Linked DNA regions of Canis lupus familiaris. The protein of the gene in region 2 interacts with the protein of the main gene of each other region in a biochemical or structural test. Links are inferred from orthologs where the notes say so. Each region holds a gene or a part of one and is shown on either strand. Other genes may lie near its edges. The genes, in order: AKT1, CDKN1A, CCND3, CASP3, ESR1, SKP2 and GADD45A.

Region 1 (3,500 bases), on a different chromosome or scaffold from region 2:
GTGCTGCCGGCAGGGCAGGGTCTTCCTGAGCAGGTGTGAGAGGCTGCGAGGTCCCCATCGGCCCTGGCCGAGGACGTCACACATCAGCCACCAGCGTGGCCCGGAGGCTGGCCCGCTGTCCCTGGGGGGCACGGGCACGGGGGTGGGGTGGCCCACCAGCCCCCTGCTGGCTCAGGGCCGCGGGCTCACCTCTGCTTGGGGTCCTTTTTGAGCAGCCCTGAGAGCAGGGACTTGGCCTCAGGGCTGAGCGTGCGCGGGAAGCGCAGCTCCTCCATGAGGATGAGCTCGAAGAGCTTCTCGTGGTCCTGGTTGTAGAAGGGCAGGCGGCCGCACAGCATCTCGTACATGACCACGCCCAGCCCCCACCAGTCCACCGCCCGGCCGTAGTCGTTGTCCTCCAGCACCTGGGGACGCAGGGGCGCGGGTCACAGGCCGCCCGGGGGACGCGGGGGCCCAGGCCCCCTGGGGACGCGGCAGGTGCGCACCTCGGGGGCCAGGTACTCGGGCGTCCCGCAGAAGGTCTTCATGGTGGCTCCGTCCTTGATGCCTTCCTTGCACAGCCCGAAGTCCGTGATCTTGATGTGCCCGTCCTTGTCCAGCATGAGGTTCTCCAGCTGTGGGGGGGCGGGTCAGTGCCAGCCCCACCCCCTGCAGCGCACCCCCCAGGCCGCTCCCGCCCGCCCACCTTGAGGTCGCGGTAGACCACGTTCTTCTCCGAGTGCAGGTAGTCCAGGGCCGACACGATCTCGGCGCCGTAGAAGCGCGCCCGGTCCTCGGGGAACACCCGCTCCCGGGACAGGTGGAAGAAGAGCTGCGGGACAAGGGCGTGACGGTGTGGGGGCTGCGGGCCGAGACCCTGCCTCCCGGGCGGGACCCCAGGGCTCAGGGCCAGCCCCACGCACGCCGCGGCCACCCTACCTCGCCCCCGTTGGCGTACTCCATGACGAAGCAGAGGCGGTCGTGGGTCTGGAAGGAGTACTTCAGGGCCTGCGAGGGAAGCAGAGCTGGTACGCGGCCCCCGGGCCCCGCAGGACGCCCGACGCCCACGGGCCGGTCTTGAATCTCAGGCAGGTAGGGTCCCGGAAGCTGGCGATCCTGGTGACCGCGTGGAGGCTTCCCCCGGGCTCGGGGCCCAGCGCGGGACGGGGTACGGTCGGCAAGGGGAGGACACGCCTGGGCAGAGCTTCCCGGCCGCCCTCCCACCCCACACCACCAGCGGCCTGGCCGTACACGGACCGAGTCGTCCCCACAAGTGACTGACCCCGGGTCTAGCCCAGCCGCCGGGGAGGAGCCCCATCCACGGAAAACACAGGACAGGCTGGTCTCTACCGGCCACAGACTCGGGCAGCGGGGATAAGCTGTGCCCCGTGAGCCCTGTCCCCTTGGAGAACCTGCAGAGGGGGTGCCACCGCCAGGGCCGGGGGTGGGGGGGGCAGCGTGCACGGACCCCGGAGGCCCTGTCGAGCGCGGCAGGGTGCTGTGGTCATGGGGGTGCGCTGAGGGGGAGGGAAGGACACAGAGCCTGGACACGAGCAGCAGGAGCAAGGTGACACAAATCTCAGGCAAAGCCAGCATAAAGAATGAGTCTGGGCTAAAAAATGAGACCTTCTTTAAAAATGTCGGTCACTTCTCCTAAGAAAACGTTTTAAGGAACAGAAACTTTAGAGAAGTACAGCCCCTTCCCTACTTTGCTCCTGCTTTGGATCAGGCGGTCCCCTGGGCTGAGGACACCCTGAGTAGGTGACGCAGCCTGGGGGTGGGGGGGAGTCCCAGGGAGAGCCCGGGTGGGGGCAGCGCCCGGCCAGACCCTGCAGGTGAGCGCGGGCCCATCCACACCTCCCAGGAGCTGGCCGAGCCCGGGACGGCGCTAAGGCTAACGGCTTTCCGGACGCTCCTCCTGGGCCAAGGGCCCCCCAGGATGAGACCCTCCTGGCTCCAGCCTCAAGGGGGGAGTAGCCGGAAGGGGGCGTGCAGGGCAGGCACGGGGGCTTGGGGTCCTCCCAGGGCCTCGGGCAGCGCGGGGGGAGGAAGACCCCATTCCGTGCACGGGGGCACAAACCACCCCCGCCTCCCGGCATCCTCGCAGGTGTGCCCACCCTCGGCCAGGCACGCGGGGCTTCCGCGGACAGGCTGGTGGCAGGGAGCCCCCGGCCCAGAGCCTCACCCCCGCAGGCAGCCCGGCGCCTCCAGGACTCACCGTCAGGAAGGGATGCCGAGAGTTCTGGAGAACACGGTTCTCCGTGAGCGTGTGGGCAACCTCGTCCTGGAAGACAGAGCCCGGTGAGCCCCCGCCTGCCCCTGCCCGCCCCCACACCCCGGCCAGGCCCCGGCCCCGTGCCCCACCTTGGCCACAATGACCTCCTTCTTCAGGATCTTCATGGCGTAGTAGCGGCCCGTGGCCTTCTCCTTGACCAGGATCACCTTCCCAAACGTGCCCTTCCCCAGCAGCTTCAGGTACTCAAACTCATTCATGGTCTGTGGGGCGGCGGGCAGGCACCTGGGGTCAGGGCGGCCCGGACCCCCCCGCAATCCCGCATCCCAGCCCTACTCCTCCCACAGGGCTCCCAGTGGCCACAATGGGGCGGCCAGGCCCCTCTGAGCTGGGGGAGCGCCTCACCACACGGTGCTTGGGCTTGGCCAGGGACACCTCCATCTCCTCAGCCCCCGAGTTGTCACTGGGCGAGCCCGACCGGAAGTCCATCATCTCTTCCTCCTGCCTCTTGAGCCCGTCGGCCACTGTCTGGATGGCAGTCGTCCACTCCTCCCTGCAGGGCCGGCACGTGAGGCCCCGTGACCCCGGCCTGGACACGGGGGACAGCGAGGCCTGGCTCCCCACAGGGCGTGTGCCCTCCCCACCAGGGAGCAGAGGCCCCGGCACCCAGCTGCCCCGTGCATCCATCTCATACCGCTCCTCGGGTGTCTCCACGTGGAAGGTGCGCTCGATGACCGTGGTCCACTGCAGGCAACGGATGATGAAGGTGTTGGGCCTGGGCCGCTCAGTCTTCATCAGCTGACATTCTGGGGGCAGGGCTGGCAGGTGAGTCTGCACCCCCGCACACAGGGCCCACCTGCCCCCGGCCCCGGGACCCCACCACCAGGTCATGCAAAGCCCTATCCCATTCCCATTCCACGCCTTGGCTCCCCTGCTTGTAAAACCAGGGGTGGGACCCCTATTCCAGTCCTGACACTGTGCTGGCAGGCAGTGAGGTGCCCCTGCAGGGCTGGCTGAGGCCGGGTCACCTCGGCCCCATGTCATCCTCTCCCCTGGTCCTTCGGTCTCTGAGCCCGTGCTGCATGCCAGGCAGCTCAACTGGCCGGAGGGAGGAGGAGGAGGGATGCCCCAGGGGCGGGGCAGAGGAGGGAAAGCAGCTGGCCCCCGAGCAGGAACCCCCTGCCATTTACCCAGCCCACGCCCCCCCCAGCAGGGCCAGTCCCAGGGCAAAGGCCGGTGGGGACTCACCCTTCAGAGACGCCGCCTGTCCTGGGCAGGCAGCTGGAGG
Region 2 (3,956 bases):
AGGTGCCTGGGTAGTTCAGTTGGTTTAGCATCTGTCTTTGCTTCATGATTTTGGGGTCTTGGTATCCAGCCTGGAGTTGGGCTCTTTGCTCAGCAGGTAGTCTGCTTCTACCTCTCTCCCTACTTCTCCCCCTTCCTCTGCTCCTGCTCTCTCTCTGTCTCATTCATAAATAAATAAATAAATAAATAAATAAATAAATAAATAAATAAATAAATAAAATCTAAAAAAAAAAAATATGTTGCGGGATCCCTGGGTGGTGCAGCGGTTTGGCGCCTGCCTTTGGCCCAGGGCGCGATCCTGGTGACCCGGGATCGAATCCCACGTCGGGCTCCCGGTGCATGGAGCCTGCTTCTCCCTCTGCCTGTGTCTCTGCCTCTCTCTCCCTGTGTGTGTGACTATCATAAATAAATAAAAAAATAAAAAAAATCTGTTGCAATCATAGAGATCTCTATTGTTGAGGTGAGAAGGAGGTGGATGTGGGCACGAGGAGGAGGGGTAGGGAGGTTGGTTCAATGTCCAATTTCCCCCATTTCCTGCTTTCCCCTGGAGACCTGGTTGACCTTTTCTGAGTATTCCCCATTCCCTCCTTCCCCGGGGGCATTGGGCGAGCAACAACTTTGCATCCGTTTAGTCCTGAGGTCCTTAATTTCTTCATCTGTGAAAGAAGGGGGATCGAATCCGGTTCTGGTCTCCAAGATGCTTTGTTGGCGTGTCTGGGTGCTTGGGAAGAGGCGGTCTAGTGAGGGGTCTGTGGGAAGACTGGCGGTATAGTGGGCTTTTCTGGAAATCGCCGAGCGAGGCACATCCTTTATGCTTTTATTTATGGAGTGTTATCTATGAATGTCACCCCTCGTGATCTTCTCGGGGCCAGAAGAAGGGCTCATCCTAAGAATGCCATCCCTTCGTGGGGAGTGCCAACTCCCAACCCAGCGAAAACAACCCCGGTCTGTGGCTCAGTTAGTGGGGAAACATGTCAAGCACAGGGACCCAGGCGCGGGGCGCGGGGCGCCGGGCGCGGGGCGCGGGGCGGGGAGGGAAGCGCCCCCCTGCAGCCCGCGGTGTAGGCGTCTGACTTCGGAGGTCTCCAGCCGCCGGCGAGTTGCGAGCTGCGGCGGCGGACGGCGGCAGAAGGGGCGGTGCCAGGCCTGGGGGCGGGGCGGCCGGTCCCTATATAAGGCGGCACCGGGCGGTGCCAGCTCGCGAGCTGCTGCGGGAGACGGTGGCTTGGAGAGCGGAGGCGGGCGCGGATTCGCGGAGCCGGAGACCCTCGGAGGAGGTGAGGGCGTTGTGGCCGGCGAGGGGGCCTGGGCCGGCGGCTCGGAGCCCGGCCGAGGTGTCCGCCTCGTGTGTGTGTGTTAGTGTCCCAGCGGGTGAGTGTGTGCGTGCGCGTGCCGTCTTCACAGGTGAATGACGTGCGTGGGTCGGCGCGTGGGGCTGGGCTCGGCTCCCACGGGTGTCTCCGGAAGGTGCGCTTGTGCCGGAGGTCGGGCTGTGTCGGAAGCCCGGGGCGGCGGGAGCGCAGCAGAGCGGGGGATCCCCTGCCGCGCCCCCCGCCCTGGAGCCAGGGGAGGCGTGGACTCGCGCGCCCCAGGCCCCCGGCGGCGCGCGGAGGGAGCCCCCGGGCGCGGAGCCCCCGGAGGGGCGGGGAACGCCGAGCCCGGCAGGTTCACCGCCCTCCGCTCCCGGCGGCTGCGATCCAATCCGCGCCGTCTCCGCCCAGACCCCTGCGGCCGGGGTCCCCGACGCCTCCGCGTCCGCCACCGGCTGGGCGCTGAGGTCAGCGCGGGCGGCGTACCCCCCCCGGTCCTTGGGAACGTGTTGGGACACATCCTTTCAGGGCAATCGAGGAGGTGACTCACGGTGACAAGGAGACCCCGGGAAATGGGACGGGTGCGGTCAGAGCCCCGCCCGGGCTGGGGGACAGTGGCGCCCCAGAAGTCGGCTTCCTCCCCGCCCCGGGTGTCTGTGCCCCGATCGGCACAGTGACTGTTTGGCTGGCACAAAGTGTTCTCAGGGAAGCCGGGACATCGGGAGGTCCAGGACTGGGTGTCCGGTCCCCGCCTCGCAGCGCGCCCTCGGGGACCCGGAGCGGTGGCCCTGCGCGGGCTGGGCTCGCTCCAGCCGGCCCGTGGGAGAAGAACAGGGGTCGGACACACCTGTCCTCCTTCGCGCCCCGCCTGCCCTGGGGTCGGGGCGCCGCATTCCGCAGCGGGAGGGGAGACCTGCGCCGCGGGGCCGCGGGGCGTGCAGCCCACGCGCGGGGCGAGGGACCCGGAGAGGTCCCATCTGGAGGCTGGTCCCACCCTGACGGCCACATCCGGGGGCTCCCGGCGCCCCTCGCCAAACTGCCCTGTCCGAGGGCGACTGCTCAGCGCGCAGCGAGAGGACGAGCCGTCCTTTGGGCGCCGCCGCCCAGCGCGGGCCACCGTGCACCCCCCCCCCCGTCGGGGGCCCTCGGGGGACACGGGCGCCCGCCTCTTGCGGAAAAGAATCTTGGAATTGGGTTTGGCGCTTTGGGGTGCCCGGGCGGCTCCCTCCCTGCCCCCCCTTCCCTGCCTCCACGTCGCGGTTCGAGGACTGTCGAGCGGTTCTGTTTTCCTTGCTTTCGTCTATTTTTATTTTCCAGGGATCTGACTCATCCCGTGCTTTGGGCGTGGAGATAAGGTGGAGGGACCAAACCTCTGCGCGCCTCTGCGTGCGGAGTGTGTGTGTGTGTGTGTGTGTGTGTGTCACGGAGGCGCGCGCGTTTTTCCAACAGTGGCGGGGCTTTCGGAAGCCTGGCTGGCTCAGCGTGACGTGTTCGCGGCCCCCGGTCCGCCCCCCGGTCCGCCCCCCGCCTCCCCTCCCCACCCGAGGGTGACGCTGCAGCCCGAGCGCACGCAGAGTTGTGGCGGGCGGGGAGCGCTCCGCAGGAAACTGACTCATCGCTGCTCGCGGCGGCGGCTCGCGGCTCTGCCCACACGCCGACCCTGCGCGTGATTTCCTGGAGACCGGCGCCCCCGTCCGGCCCCGAAGCGAGTAGCAAGCCCGCCTTCCCTTCCCGCCTCGCTGCGCCGCGGCTGAGCCTGAGCCGCAGCTGCGAACGCCCCTGAAAAAGCATGACCCGTTGGCTCATCGCGGGGTGCTCAGTGCTTACTGGTTACTTCGGAATTAAAACTGGCTGAAGTCTAAGACACGAAGGCCAACCAAGGATGCTATTCTCGGTTGTTTGTGAAATAAGGGTTTATATTTGACTTTTCTCTGAACTGGGAGTTACGATAATGGGAATGAGATCAGATTTTGATGAGGAGCCTATGAGGGCCATAGGGTGGTAGGAGAGAGGATCCTTGCCTGGATTCTGGTCCCATCTTGAGCGCCTAGAAGCCTGGGAATACTCAGCCTCCTGGTGAAAAGCCAAGGCAGGCTCCTCCTCCTTGTGCCAGTGAGGCCATCCTGTGTATCCTCTCTTGAAAGGCACCCCAAGAGTGCCCATATGGGGAACTGCCAAACACCTGCTTAAATCCCCTTTATTTTATTATTTTTTAAGATTATTTATTTATTTATTCATGAGAGACACACAGAGGAGGCAGAGACACAGGCAGAGGGAGAAGCAGGCTCCCTGCGGGAAACCGGCTGTGGGACTCTACCCTTGAACTCCGGCATCAGGCCCTGCACCGAAGGCAGATGCTCAACTGCTGAGCCAACCAGGGGCTTAAATCCCCTTTAGTTTGAGTTATTCTGGGAAGAGAGGGACCTATCAACCTGTATTTTTTAAAAAGCTCCCTAAGTGATTCTGCTGGGCCTCTGGTTAGGAACACAAAACTAGAGAGGGAGTAAGGATGAACACCAGAGCACGGAACCCAGGATAAACAGGCCTGGGTTCAAATCCTGGCTGTGCCACTTGTGAGCCATGTGACCTCGGGCAAGTTACTTTACTTCTCTGAGGTCTTAGTTACTTCTTCTGTTAAAAAAAAAAA
Region 3 (4,177 bases), about 4.9 Mb from region 2:
ACTCTAGAGCTTGGGGTCGTGAGTTTGAGGTCCACACCCGGGGCGGTAGAGATTATTTAAAAAGAAATAAAAAAACGTAAAAAAAAAAAAAAAAAGAACAATTCATCAAGAACATGCTTAGCATAAAACTTGCTTCTTCTGTAACTGTCCTTTCTCTAACAACTCACTGCTTTCAGCGGCTCCTTCCTGGGGAGGACCCCAGGAGAGGCAGAGGGATCCCTCAGGCCTTCTCCCATTCGGGGCCTAACGGGGGATTCCTGTGGTCTGCCTCTTGGCCACATAGAATCCAGCTTTGGGGGAAAACAGCGAAACAACCCAAAGTGTGGGAAGTAGAAGAAATGGCAACGGGAGGATTTGAGAGTCTGAGCAAGGAACTCCTTCACAGAGGATCTATTTTCTCCGCCCGTGTTTTCCTCCAACAGAAACTAAGGCCAACTTCAGGGCTTGTCCGAGGCCACACAGCCAAACTAATGACAAGGTGAGGAGGCCTTGAATCCATGGCTTCCCCCCTGCTGTCTTACTGCAATAGGCAGATTTAGACCAAGCCTCGCCCCACGGGCACAGGGGTCACCAGGGATCCTACAGAGGTGCTAAGTGTCTGGGATGGGGCAGCCCCCGCAGTGCCAGTGTCGCCGGGTCGCGGGTGTGGGGGTGGAAGGCGGTGAGGGTTCTGGGGCCAGGTTCAGCTTCCCGGTGCTCGCGGGGCCACAGGCCATGTGTGATTGCCACGCTCAGCTGGGCTCCAGCTGCTGGGCTCCAGCCTCGCCATCCGCCAAGTGAGGGGACTACCCGGCCCGTGGGGTTTTCGGGATCGTCGGGGAAGCGGTTCCACGCCGAGCGCTCGGATCAGCTGCGTCAGGAAGCGGCCGGCTCATGAATGGCCGTATTCCCACTCCCCCAGAGCGCTAGGAGGGCCGAGCGGGGTCCGACGGATGAATGAATAACCCCCTGGAAGAAGGTTCTTTCCCGGGCGGCTAGAGCCCGAGAAGCCAGCGGGGGAGGGCCGAGCCGCTGGGGAAGAGGCCCGCCTCCTAGGAGCGGCTCTCGGGCGGGCGGTCAGGAGGCCCGGGAGCGCCCGGAAGCCGGCCGGCCCGCGCCCTGCCGACCAATGCGGCCGCCGGGGGGGGGGGGGGGGGCGGCCCGCCAGCCCTTTCCGTCCGGGGCTCCGGCGGCCCCGCCCCGCGCCGCGCCGCGCCGCCCGAGCATTCCACGGTTGCTACATCGTCGCGAGGGGCGGGGCGCCTGTCAGGGAAGCGGCGCGCGCGCCGGCGCGGGCGGGCTGGGGCTCCGCGCGCAGTGCCAGCGCCAGCGCCAGCGCCAGACCCGCGCCCCGCGCCCCGCGCCCCGCGCTCTCCGGCCGCCGCCGCCTGCCTCCCGCCAGCCCGCCCGCGCGCTGCCCGATCATGGAGCTGCTGTGCTGCGAGGGCACCCGGCACGCGCCCCGGGCCGGGCCGGACCCGCGGCTGCTCGGGGACCAGCGTGTCCTGCAGAGCTTGCTCCGCCTGGAGGAGCGTTACGTGCCCCGCGCCTCCTACTTCCAGTGTGTGCAGAGGGAGATCAAGCCGCACATGCGGAAGATGCTGGCGTACTGGATGCTGGAGGTATCGCCCGGAAGGGTCTCCCCTCCCTCACCGCCCGGCTCCGGACATCCCCCGGGCCGCCCTGTCGGGACATCCTGGTCCCAAGAGCGATCAGCAAGATGCTTTGGTGGCTCAGCCCCGCGGGGCCTGGCCATTCGCCCGGGCGCCCTGGCCGGCCGGCCGCCCCCGCGCCGTCGCGTCCCTTCCCCAGCCCTGACTCTGATTGCCGATCGCTCGGCACCGTCACTGAGCCTCCCGGGGGGCGCGCTCCCCCCGCTGCCCTGCCCTCCCCCGCTCGGGCTCCGGAGCGCGCGCCCGGAGGAGCCTGGGCTCGGCCGCCCCCGCCCAGAGCCGGTGCCTGCGTCGGTCGCGGGGCTCGGGCGGGGAGCGCGGTGGGGGTGGCGCGCGCGCGGTTCCGGCAGTCGGGGAAATGAAAAGTGCGGGAGGCGGCGGCGGGAGTCTCCTCCCTTCCCTTTGGGTGTGTGCCGTGGGTGGTTGTAATGGGGGTAAGGTCCCAGTCCGCTGGCTACCGGGGCTGACTTTTCCGTTTCCCCGGCCCCCTTCTCGCCACGGGGGAGGGCCGTCCCAGTTTGGAATCCTTAAGGAAGGGAGCCTCTGGCGTATCTGGCGTATCCCCCCACCCCCCGGGGGAGGGGGAAAGGAGGCCGGCAACTCAGAGGAAGTGGGGGGGGGGCGTCACCTTGGGGGAAAGGCGCATCCTCCTCCGTCTCTTAGTCCTTGTCACTGAAGGCACACTTATCCCCCCTCCCATTTTTTTTGCTCCCCATTCCACTTCCCTTTCAGCGCCACCCCTCTCCCCTTTTAGTGCGGCAGCGTTTCCCATGCCCTCGCCCCAGAAGTGACTGTGCGCCCTCCCCCAGGTCTGTGAGGAGCAGCGCTGCGAGGAGGAAGTCTTCCCCCTGGCCATGAACTACCTGGATCGCTACTTGTCCTGCGTCCCCACCCGAAAGGCGCAGTTGCAGCTCCTGGGTGCGGTCTGCATGCTGCTGGCCTCCAAGCTGCGCGAGACTACGCCCCTGACCATCGAAAAACTGTGCATCTACACCGACCACTCTGTCTCTCCCCGCCAGCTGCGGGTGCGTGCATGACTCTCCCCACCCCGACTCAGTACCGCCTCACTTACCAGGAAAAGGAAAACCAAGACCTCAAAAGCTTTTCTGCCCTGGGGAGGGTAGCAGAAGCTTATTTTTTTTGGACCAAAGGTGGGGCACTGTCAGGGTGGGACAGTCAGGGTAGCTCCCCAGCCTGAGCTGGAGCTGCCAGCACCAATCGAATCCCCTTCTGACCTCCAGGGGGTGCCATTCCTTCCTGGTCTTTCCCCCAGATAGCAACAAGTCAAACTGCATGTCTATACTCACTAGTACTTTGCCTCTGGGTTTACACAGCCACCATGAGTTATTTATTGGCAGCAAAAAGACATGCCTGCACACCCCCACTGGAGTGGGGGAGTGGAATGTGTTTCATGTGGGGGTGGGGGCTGCCTTGGTTGACTCTTTGCCGCAGTGTGGACTTTGTGATTGAAAAGCCTCCCAGAGCCAGAGCCGATTAAAGTCAGGCTTAAAGTCAGGCCGTTTGCTCTCAGGAAGGGCTGAGGAGTTGTCATCCCACCTTGTTTCTTTCCTTTTGTATCCCAGAAGACAGAGCTCCTTCCATGTCCTCGTTCTGAGGAACTTGAGCAGCTGCTTCAGGCCTGCTGGAGTCCCCTCTCCCTTTCCCCCTTAGCCAAAGGCCAGAGCTGAGGGAGCGACAGGGAGCCAGGCTGCAGCTGCTTCCGATGTGATAATGCCGCCCCCTCCCCTGGCCCAGCCACTCTGCCCTGAGGTCTTTCATAACCCTGTGGGGAGCTGCTGTCACTCCTGTGGTTTGGGAAGTGGCTCCCCAGGCCTCTTGCTGGGAACCTGGGCTGGGCTCTTCCCGGGGCAGGCAAGAGAGTCAAGGCTCTCTTTCCCCATTGAGCCTGGAGAGGAGGGTGGGGGAGCTGCTTGGGTCTGGGAGAGGTTATTTAGGGCAGGCAGATCACCTCCTGGGGGGCCTGAGGGGCCTGGGGGAGAGGATGGGTGAGCTGGCACCTTCCTCCACCTTGCTCTGTGGCCAGCCAAGTCTTCTCCTGACCCTGAGAGGAGTCTCTGGGCCCCATCTCCTGGGGAGGAGGGCAGCATGCAGTTTGCTGTGATTGGCTGGCCGGGAAGCCAGGGTACTGGGGCCCCCGACTGCTGCTTGTCGAGGAACAGGATTCCTCTTCCTGCCAAGTAGCTCTCAGAGATGGGAGTAGGAGGCCAGAGTTGGGAACTCCGGGAGGCCCCACAGCTCTTTGTGATGAATCTGGTAGTTTTTGGCAAGTCTGAAGGTGGAGCCGGTTTCCAGGGCCAGTGAGCAAGATGTTTTTGGAGGGTTTGGGCTGGAAGGTAGAAGGGGACTTCCTTTTTGTGAAAAGACTGGCATGGTGTGTGTGCCTTTGTGCGAGGGGAGTTTTTTTAGAACAGGCCACAAGGACTCTTCCTCCACTCCCTCTGCGTGAGCTGGGGGGTGGAGTGTGCAGATGCCTTCCTGGAAGGTCAGAGTTGGAAGGGACTGCA
Region 4 (4,093 bases), on a different chromosome or scaffold from region 2:
AGCCCCTGGGGAGGGTTTGCACAGGATCCTGTTCTTCAGTTTTACTGCAGCAGAAAAAGGCCTGCCAAACACACTGATTGTCCCTCTCTCAATCTGGGAGGGACAAAGGCAGGCCCAAGCCTCCTCCTTGGAATCCAAATCTGATTTCGGTATTTCTCTTTTTAGCAAAAAGGAAAAACGACGTAACTTTCTTAAACCCGTGAAGGGACTGGGATTCCTGCCTCCAAGACTTGTTAAAAGGATAAAATGAGAAAATGTAGGGGCTCCTGGGTGTCTGCCTTTGGCTCAGGTCATGACCCCAGGCTCCTGGGATCAAGCCAGCTCAGAGGGGAGCCTGCTTCTACTCTCTCAAAGAAATCTGTAAAAAAAAAAAAAAAAAAAAAAGTACTAAGCATTCACCAAAGGGCTGCCACGCATACTTAACGATGTGTATTCATTCATGTACAAACTACAGCCCCCGATTCTTAACCGAATGGGTAGAAATGCTGGGGGCGAGGCTAGTGCCTAACGTGGGTCCGGGACCTGGAAGGACGTCCTGAACCTCTCGGAACCTCTTGACCTCTGATGCGGAACTTCGTGCTCGACTGTGCTGACACACTCTTCTAAGAAAACAACTCCGTGCTTGCTTTCGGGTCTGCACGCAGTTCGTGAGCCAAACCAGGCGGGAGATCCGCAGCGCAGGCGAGGACTCAGGGGCGGGGGGGGCGGGGCAGGTAAGGCGCGGCCCGGGGCACCTGGGGGGCGGGTCGCCGCCGGCTCCTCGTCCTCCCGGAGGTCTGAGCGGGCGTCAGGACGGCCTCTGACTCCCTACTCTCTGCTCCTCGGGCCTCGCGAGGCGTTCAGGCGTCCCTCCTTTTACTTTCAGAAACACTGGCGACCGGCGGAAACCCACGGGGTTCGCAGAAACAGGTGGGGCCCGTCTTACAACCCAGCGCGTGGCCGAGGCCAGAGCGCGGGGAGGGCGTGTCCACAGGAAGCGACGCTCAGGCCTATGAGGGACGGCCTAGGGGCGGCGGGGGCGGGGAGACGAGGGCGCCGGCCTATGAGGGAGCGGCATGGTGGGGCGGGGGCGGGGAGACGCGTGCGCCGGCCTATGAGGGAGCGGCATGGTGGGGCGGGGGCGGGGAGACGCGTACGCCGGCCTATGGCCTAGGGGCGGCGGGGGCGGGGAGACGCGTGCGCCGGCCTATGAGGGAGCGAGCTGGGGGGGTGGGGCAAGAGAGAGCGGGGCTAGCGGGACGTGTCCCGCAGAGGGGAGCGCGAGGGGGCGGGGCCGGGGCGGGGCCGGGGCGGGGCTAGCGGGGGCAGGGCAGCCGCGAGCACACCTTTAAGCGCCGCAGGCTGGGCGTTTGGAAGGCGACCCGGTGCGGAGAGGAGGCGGCTCCTGGCTGCTCCCCGGAGTCTGTGCGGTGAGTGCAACCACCACGTCTTCCCGCCGCAGCCTGTGCGCCCGGCGCCGGCTTCCTCCATCCTCCCGAGCCCCGCGCCCGCCCGCGCCCGCCCCGCGCCCGCCCCGCCCGCCCCGGCGACCCGCCTGGGCTTGCAGCTGCTCCCGGGCGGCGGATCCTTTGTTCCGGCGCCTCCGCGGCTGCGAGAAGGTGCACGGAAGGCCGCTGGGCGGGAGACCCGAGCGGGGGTCGGGGAGGCCGGGGGACGGAGATCCGGCTGGAGGACGCGGAGCCGGCGGCCTGGAGGCCCGAGAGGCCGGGCCGGGAGCACCGGGGCCGGGCGGCGGCGAGCCTGGGAGGGGGTGCCGAGCGGCGCGGGAAGCCCGTCTGGTCTCGGGCCTCGATTTTCCTGCCTTGGCTGTGCGACTCGGTTTTCCGGGGAACTAGCCTCCAGCATTGAATTCCATTTACTTTTCAGACCCGAAGGCTTGCATAAGGCCGCGCCGCCCTTTCCCGGGCTCGCATCCGCTGCCGAAGTCCCCTGGAGAGTGCCGTTCTCACCCTGTCCCGCCGGGCTTCGCCGGGCACAGGCTGCCTCCTTCCCTGTCCTCCGTAAGTGGCGTCCAAGCCGAGAACCGCAGCCACCTCTCCCCGTTAGCCATCAAGCCTCCTTCTGAACCCCCTAAAATAGGCACTAGATCTGTCCACGTCTGTACATTTTTGAGAACCCCCCTCCCCCCCAGGCTCTCACCTGGCCACAGCAGCCTCCTTGGCTTTTCCAGACCCTTTCCCCCACTCCATCCCATTCTTCGCAGCACAGGCCGAGTGAGCTTTATAAAATAGAATTCTAGAAGGCTGTTCCTTTGCCCACTGAACAAATCCAGTCCCTTAACAAGGCTAACAAAGCCAAGCATAGGTTGTGTCTCCTTGATCCCCTCCCCTGCCTTATCTTTTGTGATACTACCATTTCAGTTACTGACCAGCCAGGCTGATCTTAGAACCTGTTCTCTGCCTGGAACACTGCATATTCCCTCTCTCCCATCATTACACATCACATCTGCTTGAGGAACTCCTACTTAGGTTTCTGTTCTCATTAAGTACCTCAAGGTTAGGTCTTCCTACTGTGAGTTCCTTTAGCATCCTGCATTTCTTAAACGGCAGCTGGCCCATGCTTTGCAGTTGTTTTGTTTACTGTTTTCCTTACTACTTTGTAAGCAGATTCCAGGAGGGACCATGTTTATCTTGTTATCTTGTTGTTCCTAATTGTTTTCCCCCTTTACAGAGGGGCCTGGCCCAAGTTAATGCCCATACTACAGTATTGTGCTTTTTTAATAATTATGCCCAGTCTAGAAAAAATAAGCCTATTTTAGGTTTACTTAGTAAATTATAATTAAAAGATGTGAATCAGAAGGGAATAGTAGAAGTGAAATAGGGAGTCGCTATACCAACGTGAGTATGAATATTCGCAAGATAATCACAGGCACTAAGCAAGGTGGTTAGACCAGCCTGTATCAAAATGTACTCAGCCGCCGCTTTGAATGTGTTGAAGTTACATGTTCTCCAGGAATGAAGTCTAAAGCTTAAATCATCCCTATCACAATGTGATGTTTGAGCTTTGGTTTTGCTTTGCTCTTTTGCAGAAGAAGGCTTTGAAAGTTAGAACGTGTTTTAATAAATGAACAGGCTATTGGAGTGTGGCAGTAAAACCCCTTCTCAGTAAAAAAGAAATGAAACATTGTATTCAATTAAATCAGATTTGTGTTTGCTCTCCTTTAAAAAAAAAAAAAGGCCTTACTTCCTGCCATTTTAAGAGACTGACATGTTATCTGATATAGGCAATTACAAGTTTCTCTGCTGTTTTGCTTTCAAACCCAATTTAACACAATCTCCTGCTTCATCCCCCTTCAGTGCTAAAAAACAGTCTTTTTTTTTTCCACGTATGGCTTTAAAAGAATTTTGGTGCCTACTGTTTAGATCTTTAAACTCTGCCTTAAATGTGAAGCACTGGTGTTTGGGCCCAGAACGAGAGATGGGAATTCTTAGACTGTTAGATAATGTTTTGTACACATTTAACAAATGTCCTGGAGGGGGACAGACACTTTGTTGTCAGGCCACTCTAGGCCAAGTCCCAAGGGCAAAACTTACTACTAGCCCATTCATAAATTAGGCATAAATTATATAGACACCTCACAGGGTTGTGGTGAGTATAAAATGAGAGGTCTGTTGACTGTGCTTTGTAACTATGTAATGTTATTCCTCTGCCTATTTTGTTCTTCCCTGCAAATAGTTCATAGAGCTTCTGAATTAGGGTAGAGTAAGATAAAATTCTCTGGTCCCTACCCAGCACTGTGTGGTATCTGCCTTAGGGAGCCACTTCCAGATAGCAGAGAGTACAGGTGTGAGCCCCCCATGAGGACACCTACCCTCAGGTTTACTGCAGTACTCTGCACACAGTTCAGTAAATGATTACAGCCCAAATGACAAATGTATAAAAATAACTGGCTCTTGACTTTTTACAGTTCCAAACCTCTGGGAGGCAGGATTTCTTTAACCAAGTGGTTGTAAACCAGAATCTGCTTTTACAGAGCAGTGGTTCGGGGCGGCGGGGGAGGCCTTGTAGGTTATCTATCATTTTTATAACAGGCAAATATAGAATGAAGGTCCTTCATATATATATGAAATACAAAATACAGCTTTGAATAGTG
Region 5 (3,500 bases), on a different chromosome or scaffold from region 2:
GAATGGCACCTTGAAGGTATAGTCAAGTGATAAAAACTGGTATCCAGGGTTACATGGTAATGATGACATAAAAATTTGAATTGTTACCTTTCTATAGATGTTCTATGTTGTTCATCAGTTCATTTGAGTTTCAAATGCTCCAGCTGGTTTATACTTTTTCTCTATTTCCTAAAGATCCGTAGTGTGTGTAGAATTTGAATAACCATTGGTCTCTGATGATTTTTCATTAACTGTGAATCCCTGAAAAAAAGTGAATAAATCTATTAAAAACCAGCTAATTTCATTTTGTCATTTTCTGAATAATATATTCTGGTGTAGGCAGTCCATTTTTTAAGCAAGTTTGCAATAAACAATTTCCCCTCAAGGTTAATAGAATAGGCAAACACCTTTTGCTGTAACAGCTGGCAAGAGGTAATGAAAGATTAGCTTACATTATGATTCATTATTTCAAAATGTCAGAATAAAGTGGATCTGCTGCATCCCCCAAGCCTCTTATTCTTTAGAAGAGTGTACATGTTTTGCTTTTCTAATGTTAATAGATTCACTGTTTTTATTTTTTCCTATTTCTTTTTTTCCAGGCCAAATTCAGATAATCGACGCCAGGGTGGCAGAGAGAGATTGGCCAGTACCAGTGACAAAGGAAACATGGCCATGGAGTCTGCCAAGGAGACTCGCTACTGTGCAGTGTGCAATGACTATGCCTCAGGCTACCATTATGGAGTCTGGTCCTGTGAGGGCTGTAAGGCCTTTTTCAAGAGAAGTATTCAAGGTAATAGTGTGTTGAAAACAACTTATTTCCCTTTAATCTTGAAGGGAAGCAACTGAAGAAAGAAGGCATATGAGCAGCCATTTGTAGTAGAAAACACTAATACCTGGTAGGTCCATTAGTATCTCTGGTAGAAACATGAATATAAAAAAGTTCTCGGTAGAAAGAGTTGACAAAGACCAGGGTAGTTGTGGCTGGCTGAGTAATTATGCTCCTTCCATTGGCAAGATCCAAGCAGTCTTGAGCAACTCAACAGGAAGGGGATTTTAATAGCTGGGTTTCCAGAGGTCTGTGCTCAGATATTCATGTGTTGCAGGCAACGGGGCTTATACAATACATGTAATACGAATTGTCTGTACATTACTACCTTCCACCTTGGTTGTGTCCAGATATGGATTCTGTTCTGATCTTTGCTCCAGAGCACCAGTTCTTTGCATCAACTCTAACTTGACTTGTTCTTCTCTTGTTCTTCCTCCACCTCTTTGTTGTCTCAGTAGATGATATGACTTTTGCTAAAATGAGAAGACTCAATAGCTGGTGACCTGTAATAGGGGACATATTATCAGTATAAGCAGTTAGTATTTACTTGTAACATTTCATTCACCTGTGTGCCTTGATCCTTTTTTTATATGTGGCTTACCAAGTCACCCTTATACTGACAGCTGCAATTTATTTTTATTCCAAGAATGTCTATATTGTTGCATTTTAGAGGATGCTCTGGGAGAAACATCAATCATTTCTACTACCCAAAATATCTATGCTAAAGATTCTTTGTCTGACAGGCATAGCAGTCTGACAGGAGTTTAGGTTAGCTGAATTAACTTTATCTTGGTTCATTTTATATATATATATATATACATATATATATATTTATCTCAGTCCATTTTAAAGCAGTTTTTTTGACAGTTCTTACTTTCAACATCTTTTAGAAATCTACTGTAAGATTTGCACTTTTTTTGTTGGGTTTCTTAAATAAAATTAATGATATTCTCTGATAGCAAATTTTTTTTATACATGTATACACACATATGTAATATATATGTATAAATATATATAAATGTATACATGGATATGTATATATACACATATCTATGTGTTAAAACAACATAGATTATTCAATTTTACCAAATGATACTGTCTTAATTTAGAAAAATGGCATTTCTATTTGGTTTAAGTTAGGATAAGCCCTGAAAGGTCTTTCAACAACCATATTCATTTGTGATATTACTGTTTATTTGCTTTTATATATTCTAAAATAGCATTATTTTCACCAAATATTTAATCTGGTATTGACAAATCATCTGACAGAGGTAGGTTTAGTGAACAGGTTCAATTATAAACTTGACTTATCTGAAACTGAGTTCTCTCATCTGTAAAAATCATTGATAGCAGTGTTCAGCAACAATTTTTTTTGTAAAAATCCAGATAGTAACTATTTTAGGCTTTGCAGTCATTGTTGCAACTACTCAGCCCTGACATTGTGGCCCATAAGGAGCCATAGACAATATATAAGTAAATGGGTGTGTGCCAATAAAACTTTATACACAAAAATAGGCCAGAACTGACCAGAAATGACCTATGAGCCATAATTTGCTAACCCTTGATTTAATGCATGGAAAGGGAATAGATGTTTCTAAATCTAAAGTTTTGACTATTCATATTTATTAAAAACTTACTCTGTACCTGTGCTAGATGTTCTGAGAGAAATCAAAATATGTGTCAGACATAATCTGTATTCCCACAAAATTTGGAATTTATTTGGGAAATTTATTGGGGTGGCAAAGATACTTGTTCTTATGATATAATTAGAAAGTAAGTCAGTATAGGTGAAGTGCAATTATATGATAAAGATAAGGAATATAATAGAAGAATATAAGAAAATAAATATTTTCAGTTATAAAGGTCAAATTACTAAGATTGAAGATAAAAAGGACCTGTCTTCAAGGAACAATACCAATATTCTCACAAATTATTTTTATCCTATTTGTTCAGCATTGAAGATTGTACTGTATAACTTCACATCATACTCTGAGCATTAAAGTATCAGAGCAAAAAAAAAGGAAAAAAGAAAAATACACTTATAAAAATAGTGAAGGAAATGTGAGCTAATAAAAAATGTTTTATTGGTATATGGCATTATCAAAAGTTCAAACATTTAAAAAAAATTTCTGCTTACTCTTTGATGGTTAAAATATATATCTTATCTCCATCTTACATATACAGACTAAACAGTAGGATTTCATTGTACTATAAATTATATAAAATTGTACTATATATAAACTGCATAAGCTACAATTTCTGCCTGGCTTCAGAAACTTCGTATTATGGTATGAAGTCACTTAAATAAGCTTTACTAAATGAGGTGAATATTGAGTCCAAAGTTTTAGAAGAAGCATAGAAATGAGACAAAGATAGTACCTTTAGACATGAGGAGGGACCTTAAAAATGATTCTGTTTATTAATTCATTTATTTATTCATTGATTGCCTCTACTAGCCAGAACACTGTGGAAAGTCCTGGAGATAAAATTATAGGAAAGGCATAGTCCTCATTCTCATAGACCCTAAAAGGTAGTGAGAGAGTTGTGCAAAAAAAATTGGCAACTAAATTACAGTGTGACAAGTGCCAAGATGAGGATGAGTGGAGGGTCTTATAGAGGAGTCCAAATGTCACTCAGTCCTGTTGGGGGTTGAGTCAGGCTATGAGAAGTTTTCTTGATTTAAAATTAAGTCTGG
Region 6 (3,940 bases), on a different chromosome or scaffold from region 2:
TGATATAGATTTCCAGATCATAACCTGCCGGTTCTCTTTTCCAGTGAAAAAGTCAAAACCCAGAAACAATAGTTTTGTTTTTTTTTTTTAAAGCAACCAACCAACCCTTCTTCAAAGAAAGTCTGGTGGGAGAACTGAGGAATATACTTATTACCGTGGCTCTGCAAGACTTCATCTTAATTTCTTTTAATCTGCCTCTTATTCTTCCCCTATCACCCACCCAATTCCTGTTTAGGGTCCGATCGCCTCCTCTACAGACGACTTCAATAGCCTCCTGATTCTGTCAACTCTAATGTCAGAATCCATCCTTTTAACAAATCTCTAAGCTTCTATGCGTGACCCCCCTATAGTTTAATCCATACACATCAGTGTGTCCTTTTAACAGATGACATCACAAATCTGCTCAACACCACCTCTAGCCCTATCTCCCACTGCTCTCCCTTTTGCTCAGTCTGCATATGGCTTCCTTCTTCCTTGAGCAAACATGACATGTTTTTGCACCAGGGTCTTTGCACTGCCTTTGTCCTCTGCTTAGAGCCCTCTTCTCCAAGATATTTGCGTGGCACATTCCTCACACCTCCTGTATGCTTTTGCTTAAAAAGCTTGTGTCTAAGTGAGGCTATCCCTTAATATCTCTTAGTGAGGTTTAAAGTTGTAAACCATCTTCCAACCCCAGGACTTCCAATCCCTCTTGGCTTGTTCTCTACTTGTTTTTGGCCACAGTATTTACCACCTTCTTAACATATTATACACCACATTTATTATGTTTATTGCATCCCCCCTCTCAAACAGAAGCTTCATGAGAGCAGGAATGCTTATGTTTTGTTCCCTGCCTTATCCCCAACACATAGAACGATGCCTCCCACATAGCATGTGCTCAGCAAATATTTGCTGGATTAATGTTTTAAATGACTTACTGGCAAGAAAAACTGATAACCCTAAGTCATTGCACTGTGTTTACCCTATGGCTTTTGTACTCTTCGGATTCTGATCCACTCTGGGAGATACTCAATGACATGTCTGAGAAGCCTGGGGAAATGATATGGTGAGTTCTACATCTGAGTCAGTTCACTCTAGCTCTGGGGATGGATCAGGGGAGGATAAGACTGGAATTATGAGTCCATGCCAATATTCAGGCAAGAGATAATGAGAGTATGAAAAACATCTAGGAGACAAGAGGGAAACATTCAATGATTGGTTGGGGGCTGGAAGATGGTGGGAAGGGACTGGCCCTCAGGTTTCTGGCTGGGTGACTGAACAGATAATGTGGGCAGTAATGGAGACAGATCAAACCAGAAAAATCCCACTTGGGAGGTCCGAGGGATATAAGGCCCTACTCCTAGTTTAACATTCACGTTAGTAGTCCTTTGACAAATAACTAAAGCAATTATGGCAACAAACTCAACTGAAGCTACAGAGCAACGGAATATAAATAACAAAAATCCTACAAGATTATTGCTTATGTTCCCATTTAACAATGGCACTGAGCTGGCCTTTGAACACGCAGATTCCCTTCAAAGGGAAGGAGGCAGGAAGATCTTCTGGGTTAAAATTTCACATGGGTTAAAAGTCAATTGTGCACCTGGAAAATATATACCTACCAAGATTCCTGTAGATTTCAGTGACAAAGGGTTGTCCCATTGCTTTGGAAATCGACTTCAGAAGTAGGCAATTTTAAAAGCGTGCCATCCTAAAGATCGCTTAACAAAGATTAGCAATAAATAGTTCAGTCCACTTCTTAAGTGACCGACAGTTTTACCCTCATACCTTACCTGGAAAGCTGTCTCGATTTAGCTTAGGCCTGCGGACTATGACAAAGTCCTTGTCATTCCCCTTGCTTTTCAGCCGTTTTCGGGGCGGGCTCTGAGGGTGGCCCAGATTTGAGAGCAGTTCCTGGGGGATATTCTCACTGTCCACCTCCTCCTTCTCCAGAGCAGAGACCCCCATGCCCGACAGCAGTTCAGAAGTCTTACTAGAATCCCATCCCCACGTGAAGCTGGTGGTAACGTTGCTACTCTGGTCTGGAATCTCCTGGAGGTGTTTCCTGCAGAAATGCACAACAGCCCCGGTTTCTTTCAAAAACACACCCGTAAATAATTCAAAGATAGGCCTACATGAAACTCTAAGTTATGCAATGCAGAAAACTTTAAGAATTGCATTTTTTTTTAAAGTGCCGGCGGCGAGTTTCCAAGAAGGAAAAAAAGAAAATAACCGAACAAATCAAAAAGGCTTTTTGATTTACGATCACGGAGAAGGCCTCAAGAATGTCTTAAAGTGGAGGGAACAGACAAGCGGGGGGGGGAGGACGGGGGGGGGGCAAACGTACACCGGCAGGAAAGCTCAATAAGGGAAGGCAAAAACCGCACGCTGATCACCGCACTAAAGCATCCGGCCCCCCACACTTTCCCAAAGAAGGGGCTGAGCAACGATTCAATTACAACATTCACAACAGTATTAGCGCGTAGCAATATTCGCGGCCTAAAAGAATTGAGGCGGTTCATTCACTCTCAGCCCCCTTTTGCAATCGGTTTACCTATGCATGGCGTCCACAGCTTCTGGAGTTTTAAACGCGTGCATTAATTGCAGAACTGCACGCCTCCGGGATTCCCGCTTTGGCGCGCGGCGGCTCAAGGCGTGCAGCTCCGACCCCCAGCAGCGAGACCCGCGAACTCTAGCAACGTTCCATCCTCGCCGCGCGCGCGAGGGCTCTTCTACTCGCCCTCCGCCGCCGCCGCCGCCGCCGTCGGCCGCCCCGCTGCCTGCCGGGAACTGTAGTTTCCGTCTTGCCTCGTAGTCCCGCCGGCTCTGCGCGACGTCCTTCCTCGGCTGACTTTACCCGCCTCGGAGATACCCACAAGCCCCCGCGCCCGCGAGGCGGGGCCGTCCACGCGGTAGGCGGGGAAGCGGAAGTGGGCGGCGCTCCGGCTGCCTGGGAAATGTCAGCCGCCTGACTGGGGACGGATTTTCCTTACCCCGGAGCCTGCAGGCCTTTCTAGTGGTCGTCACCGCCGTCGCCCCGGATCGCCGGTCGCAGGTCCGGGACGGCTGTGGCGGACGCGGGGTTCCCGGTCCTTGTGCGGACGCTGTCTGGCCTGATGGGGAGGGCGTGAGCCCTGTGGGGTCTGCGGTCTGAGGCCGGGCGCTGGCGGAGATCGAGAGGACCTCGGAGACCCCGAGCCGCCGCCGCCGCCGCCACCGCGGGCCTTCGTTCCCGGCCACCGAGTGGAGGCGGCAGCCCGGTCCGCCGGCCAGGTGAGACGATGAGGGCCGCGGGCGTCCCACTTGCGCCCCCCCGCCCCCCCCCCGCCGCCGCCGCCGCCGCCGCGAAGCTGCTTCCTCCATCTGGGAGATAGTGACCCTTAGCACTGCGGGTCACCAGGTGCCTGTTCTGTAGGCACTACGGCTCCGAGGTTCCTCCCGAGAACACGCCTGACGTGAGGGGCAGATTACGCTTGTGGAAGCGCTTTGTAAACTAAAGCGCGGTTGGAAGGAGAGGCGGTGGCTTAATTTTAGGGGAGCAGGAGAACACGGCGGTTGCCACGGTGTGCGGTGGGACAGCTGCGCAGCCCCCTGGCAGCCCAGACGAGCTTGGGAACAGCTAAGGGGACGGTCGGTAGGTCTGTGAGGGCCGTGGAGCGCCACGCTCGGGGCCGCTGGGCTGCTCGCGCTCCGCCGACGACGTCCGGCGGCGTCGCCGTCTGAAAGGCGAGCTGCTGCGAGCCTGTCGCCGCCCGGGAGAGCCTGGGGGCGGCCAGAGCAGGGAGTGTGCCGCATTCCAGGTCGGATGACCGTGCGAAATCCACAAACGGTGACCCCTGGAGAACAGTGGAAGGGAGAGGGGAATAAATTCCAACCTTCAATTAAAAAAAATTAAAAAAAAAAAAAAAGGAGAGGATTGATCAAGTTCAGAAGTAAGCAGAGCCCTCTGCTAAGTCATCAC
Region 7 (3,986 bases), on a different chromosome or scaffold from region 2:
TTCAGAAGTGTGTTAACTTCTGCTTGCTTTCCACCCACAGGTTGCCATTATCTCAAAGGTGAAATTTTAGCGTATGACTAAAAGGTCCTATAGCTGCAGCTTCATGATTCAGCATCTAACATCAATAACTCACAGTGAGATCACAGGCTCTCTGTGGAAGGTAGTGACATACTTGCCTTATGAAAGGAAGCTCAGGGCATATTGAGAGTATTTTGAATTTAGACTTGTGTGGGCGTCAGACGTGTGTGTCTCTTAGCTGGGGCAGGTGCAGAAGGGTCCTCCTTTGGGAAAAGCTCTCGGGAAAGGTGAATTTGGGTCGTAAGTCTAGCAATTGCACATGCGGCCCCCCTCCTGACCACGGTTTCCAGAGTCACCCTGGGCAGGTGGGAAGCCTCTCTGCTTTCCGTGGAAAAGATTCCAGCTTGGTTCCGTGCCATTACCAAACACAAATGTGTTGATTTTTCTTTTTTGAGCTTCCAACCCTTGCAACCTTCCAAAAATAAATCAAACCAGCCATCAGGGCACCGAAATAATACTACTACTAATAAGCAGCTTTGCCTAGACTTACATAAACAACACTTCTGAAGTCAACTTTGCCCCAGAGGTCTGAAACACTCTTTTTATGTAACCTGCTTACTAATAATTACTAGACTTGGGTGCATTAGCCCTGGAAATAGACTTTAATAGCAACTGCTAAAAACAAAAGACATGAAACGACAATAAAATAAAAATGTGCACCAACCAGAAAAACAGTTGGCAGCCTGCTCGGGGCTCAAGTGGAAGGCACCCCTCTGCCCCGCCGCTGCAGAGACCCCCCACCCTCCTCGGAGCCTCCCACCGGATCAGAGTCGGCTCCGGACCCGCCCCGCCCTCCCCCTCCCCGCCCCGCCCTCCCCCTCCCCGCCCCGCCCTCCCCCTCCCCGCCCCGCCCCCTAGGCCGCTCGCCCCGCCCCCTAGGCCGCCCGCCCCGCCCCCTAGGCCGCCCGCCTTCCGCGTGGCTCCGCCCCCTTCCGCTCCTCTCCCCGCGGGTCCTGGAGCCGGGGTCACATGGTCGGAGCAGGCTGATTTGCATAACCCAATGGCTGTGCGCATGCAAATGAGGCGGGTGGTGATTGGCTGCGGTCGGCCCCATAAGGGCGGCGAGGGGGCCTTTGTCCCAGTGGCTGCGGCGGCGGCGGCGGCGGCGGCGGCGGCGGGCGCAGGGGCGGGGCGGAGCGGGGCCGCGGACGGGCGGACGGACGGGCCGACGGACGCGGTGCAGACGCCAGGCGCCGCGCGCCCGCAGAGGCCCGAGCAGCCCGCACGCCGCGCCCTGGGGCGGACCCGCGGCTGCAATATGACTTTGGAGGAATTCTCGGCCGCGGAGCAGAAGAGCGAAAGGTAGGGCGGCGGCCTCCCGAGCGCCCCCCGCCCGCCCCGGGCACCGCCCCCGAGGCGCCGGCGGACTGACGGACGGACGGACGGACTGACGGACGGGCGGGCGGGCGGACGCGCCCCTCCCCGCGGGCCCTGGCGGCGGCCTCGGGGAGGGCGATGGGGTCGGAGGGCGGCTGGCGGGCCGGGCCTGGGCTGACGCGCCCCGCGCTGGCTCCCGGGCAGGATGGACAAGGTGGGGGACGCCCTGGAGGAGGTGCTCAGCAAAGCCCTGAGTCAGCGCACCATCACCGTCGGCGTGTACGAGGCGGCCAAGCTGCTCAACGTGTGAGTGGGGCCCCGCCCCCCAGGCGACCCCGCGGAGCCCCCCACATGCCCCCGGGGAGCCCCCCCACCTGCCCCCGGGGAGTGAGTCTTACACCTGCCCCCCGGAGACCCCCCCCAGGCGACCCCGCGGAGCCCCCCACATGCCCCCTGGAGAGCCCCTCCAGGCGACCCCGGGGAGCCCCCCACCTGCCCCCGGGGAGTGAGTCTTACACCTGCCCCGGAGACCCCCCCCCCCCAGGCGACCCCGCGGAGCCCCCCACATGCCCCCGGGGAGTGAGTCTTACACCTGCCCCGGAGACCCCCCCCGAGGCGACCCCGCGGAGCCCCCCCACCTGCCCCCTGGAGAGCCCCTCCAGGCGACCCCGGGGGAGCCCTTCACCTGCCCCCGGGGAGCCCCCCCCACCTGCCCGCGGGGAGTGAGTCCTCCACCTGCCCCCGCGGAGCCCCCCACCTGGCCCGGGGGCGGGGGGCGGCGGGCGGGCGCGACCCTGGGACCCCGGGGCCTGCGCGCTCAGCCGCCCCCGCCGCCCGCAGCGACCCGGACAACGTGGTGCTGTGCCTGCTGGCGGCCGACGAGGACGACGACAGGGACGTGGCGCTGCAGATCCACTTCACCCTGATCCAGGCCTTCTGCTGCGAGAACGACATCGACATCCTGCGCGTCAGCAACCCGGGCCGCCTGGCCGAGCTGCTGCTCCTCGAGCCCCACGCCGGCCCCGCGAGCGAGGGCGCCGAGCAGCCCCCGGACCTGCACTGCGTCCTGGTGACGGTGAGGGGGGGCATGGGGGTGCGCGGGGTTGCACGGGGTCGGGGGGGTGCACGGGGGAAGGGCCGGACCGTCCTGGTGACGGTGAGGCGGGGGGGGGGGGGCGCGGGGGTGCACGGGGCTGCGGGTGGTGCGCGGTGGTGCACGGGGAAGGGCCGGACCGTCCTGCTGACGGTGAGGCGGGGGGGGGCGCGGGGGTGCACGGGGCTGGGGGTGGTGCACGGGGAAAGGCCTGACCGTCCTGGTGACGGTGAGGCGGGGGGGGGGGGTGCGCGGGGTTGCACGGGGGAAGGGCCGGACCGTCCTGGTGACGGTGAGGCGGGGGGGGGGGGGAGCACGGGGGTGCACGGGGCTGGGGGTGGTGCACGGGGTCGGGGGGTGATGCATGGGGGGTGGTGCACAGGGGTGCGGAGGTGGTGCACGGGGGAAGGGCCGGACCGTCCTGGTGACGGCGGTGGGGGGGGGCGCAGGGGTGCACCGGGTCCTGGTGCCGGTGAGCCCCGGGGTCGGTGGCGGGGCCGAGCTCCCGACCGCAGCCGACAGGTGTGGCCCCATCCCGGCGGGCGGGCGGGCCGGGACGTGTCCGAGCACGCGGGAGCCGCGGGGGAAGGAGCCTCGTGAGTCAGCAGGGCGGCCCCTCCCCACCTCCGCGGCGCTGCCTCCCGTGACCGACTCCCTTAGCAGGCAGATTAGGTTCAGCCAAATAAATTCCTGGCTCCCCCTCATTAAGGAGTCGGCTTCGTCCTCCAGCGCTCCAAGCTAAAAATAGAAGTGGTGTAGGAGACCGACCTTATTAATTCCCTAGAAATACACGAAGAGGACGGAATGGGGATTGTTTTTTATTTGCAATCTTGGATTTTTTTTTAATGGACCCCCCCCCCCCCCATGACTACCTTTGGTGGGAAGATGACTTGTGTTTCCAGAGATAAATAGGACAGTTTTGTCTTTTACATTCTGCTACTTATGGGCTGGTCTAGGTAAGTGGCGGCTTAATCATTTTGCGTGTCCTGAAAACTACCACCCTGTCTTTGGGGAGGATGACAGGTGGCAGTTCCAGCGAACTGTTAGGGGCTCGCCTCTCCCTGGGCTCGGGGCATGGAGATCTTTGTCCGAGCTGTTTCTCGCTCAGGTGGCTTCCAGGGGACAAGCCTCTGAATGCTACTCTGCTACTTTCCTGCAAAAACGCAGTAAACATCCTGCAGTCCCATGTACGCGGTGCGGAGGGCTGCATGCATGCAGGCTTGCAGGGTGTGCTTTAGAGCATTACGTAGTGGTTTCCCCAGAAATCAGCTACCAAGAAAAAAGTTGATCTTTTTATGGTTGTAACTGGTCTCTTGTCACACAGCCAAAGTACAGAATGCTCAAGTTGTCTTTCCCTCGAAATGAGTGTAATTATTAGCAAATGTTGCCTTTTTTTTCTTTTTTAATAGTAAATGTATTTTTCTCAATTTGTTTCCAGAATCCCCATTCCTCACAGTGGAAGGATCCTGCCTTAAGTCAACTTATTTGTTTTTGCCGG

Evidence for each region.
Region 1: of the proteins of CDKN1A (region 2) and AKT1, one has a biochemical effect on the other in vitro, tested with the Homo sapiens proteins (2 studies listed by BioGRID, with this or other methods). The link is inferred for Canis lupus familiaris from reciprocal best matches to the Homo sapiens genes CDKN1A and AKT1.
Region 3: the proteins of CDKN1A (region 2) and CCND3 form a complex in vitro, tested with the Homo sapiens proteins (2 studies listed by BioGRID and IntAct, with this or other methods). The link is inferred for Canis lupus familiaris from reciprocal best matches to the Homo sapiens genes CDKN1A and CCND3.
Region 4: of the proteins of CDKN1A (region 2) and CASP3, one has a biochemical effect on the other in vitro, tested with the Homo sapiens proteins (3 studies listed by BioGRID). The link is inferred for Canis lupus familiaris from reciprocal best matches to the Homo sapiens genes CDKN1A and CASP3.
Region 5: the proteins of CDKN1A (region 2) and ESR1 form a complex in vitro, tested with the Homo sapiens proteins (2 studies listed by BioGRID). The link is inferred for Canis lupus familiaris from reciprocal best matches to the Homo sapiens genes CDKN1A and ESR1.
Region 6: of the proteins of CDKN1A (region 2) and SKP2, one has a biochemical effect on the other in vitro, tested with the Homo sapiens proteins (3 studies listed by BioGRID). The link is inferred for Canis lupus familiaris from reciprocal best matches to the Homo sapiens genes CDKN1A and SKP2.
Region 7: the proteins of CDKN1A (region 2) and GADD45A form a complex in vitro, tested with the Homo sapiens proteins (3 studies listed by BioGRID). The link is inferred for Canis lupus familiaris from reciprocal best matches to the Homo sapiens genes CDKN1A and GADD45A.

Annotation. Positions count from the first base shown.
Region 1 is NC_049229.1:72,720,717-72,724,216, forward strand, and holds part of AKT1 (RAC-alpha serine/threonine-protein kinase), read right to left. Parts: intron 3,019-3,500; coding exon 2,907-3,018; intron 2,766-2,906; coding exon 2,618-2,765; intron 2,476-2,617; coding exon 2,344-2,475; intron 2,264-2,343; coding exon 2,198-2,263; intron 988-2,197; coding exon 919-987; intron 812-918; coding exon 686-811; intron 615-685; coding exon 486-614; intron 405-485; coding exon 190-404; intron 1-189. UniProt on the Homo sapiens protein: AKT1 is one of 3 closely related serine/threonine-protein kinases (AKT1, AKT2 and AKT3) called the AKT kinase, and which regulate many processes including metabolism, proliferation, cell survival, growth and angiogenesis.
Region 2 is NC_049233.1:5,927,073-5,931,028, forward strand, and holds the start of CDKN1A (cyclin-dependent kinase inhibitor 1), read left to right. Parts: upstream 1-1,156; 5' UTR 1,157-1,276; intron 1,277-3,956. UniProt on the Homo sapiens protein: Plays an important role in controlling cell cycle progression and DNA damage-induced G2 arrest. Involved in p53/TP53 mediated inhibition of cellular proliferation in response to DNA damage.
Region 3 is NC_049233.1:10,786,492-10,790,668, reverse strand, and holds the start of CCND3 (G1/S-specific cyclin-D3), read left to right. Parts: upstream 1-1,377; 5' UTR 1,378-1,403; coding exon 1,404-1,601; intron 1,602-2,461; coding exon 2,462-2,677; intron 2,678-4,177. UniProt on the Homo sapiens protein: Regulatory component of the cyclin D3-CDK4 (DC) complex that phosphorylates and inhibits members of the retinoblastoma (RB) protein family including RB1 and regulates the cell-cycle during G(1)/S transition.
Region 4 is NC_049237.1:46,847,432-46,851,524, forward strand, and holds the start of CASP3 (caspase-3), read left to right. Parts: upstream 1-1,293; 5' UTR 1,294-1,409; intron 1,410-1,866; exon of another isoform or gene 1,867-2,000; intron 2,001-4,093. UniProt on the Homo sapiens protein: Thiol protease that acts as a major effector caspase involved in the execution phase of apoptosis. Following cleavage and activation by initiator caspases (CASP8, CASP9 and/or CASP10), mediates execution of apoptosis by catalyzing cleavage of many proteins.
Region 5 is NC_049222.1:42,539,821-42,543,320, forward strand, and holds part of ESR1 (estrogen receptor), read left to right. Parts: intron 1-578; coding exon 579-769; intron 770-3,500.
Region 6 is NC_049225.1:73,293,850-73,297,789, forward strand, and holds the start of SKP2 (S-phase kinase-associated protein 2), read right to left. Parts: upstream 2,801-3,940; 5' UTR 2,578-2,800; coding exon 2,534-2,577; intron 2,045-2,533; coding exon 1,773-2,044; intron 1-1,772. UniProt on the Homo sapiens protein: Substrate recognition component of a SCF (SKP1-CUL1-F-box protein) E3 ubiquitin-protein ligase complex which mediates the ubiquitination and subsequent proteasomal degradation of target proteins involved in cell cycle progression, signal transduction and transcription.
Region 7 is NC_049227.1:77,929,188-77,933,173, reverse strand, and holds the start of GADD45A (growth arrest and DNA damage-inducible protein GADD45 alpha), read left to right. Parts: upstream 1-1,186; 5' UTR 1,187-1,336; coding exon 1,337-1,380; intron 1,381-1,599; coding exon 1,600-1,701; intron 1,702-2,235; coding exon 2,236-2,470; intron 2,471-3,926; coding exon 3,927-3,986. UniProt on the Homo sapiens protein: In T-cells, functions as a regulator of p38 MAPKs by inhibiting p88 phosphorylation and activity.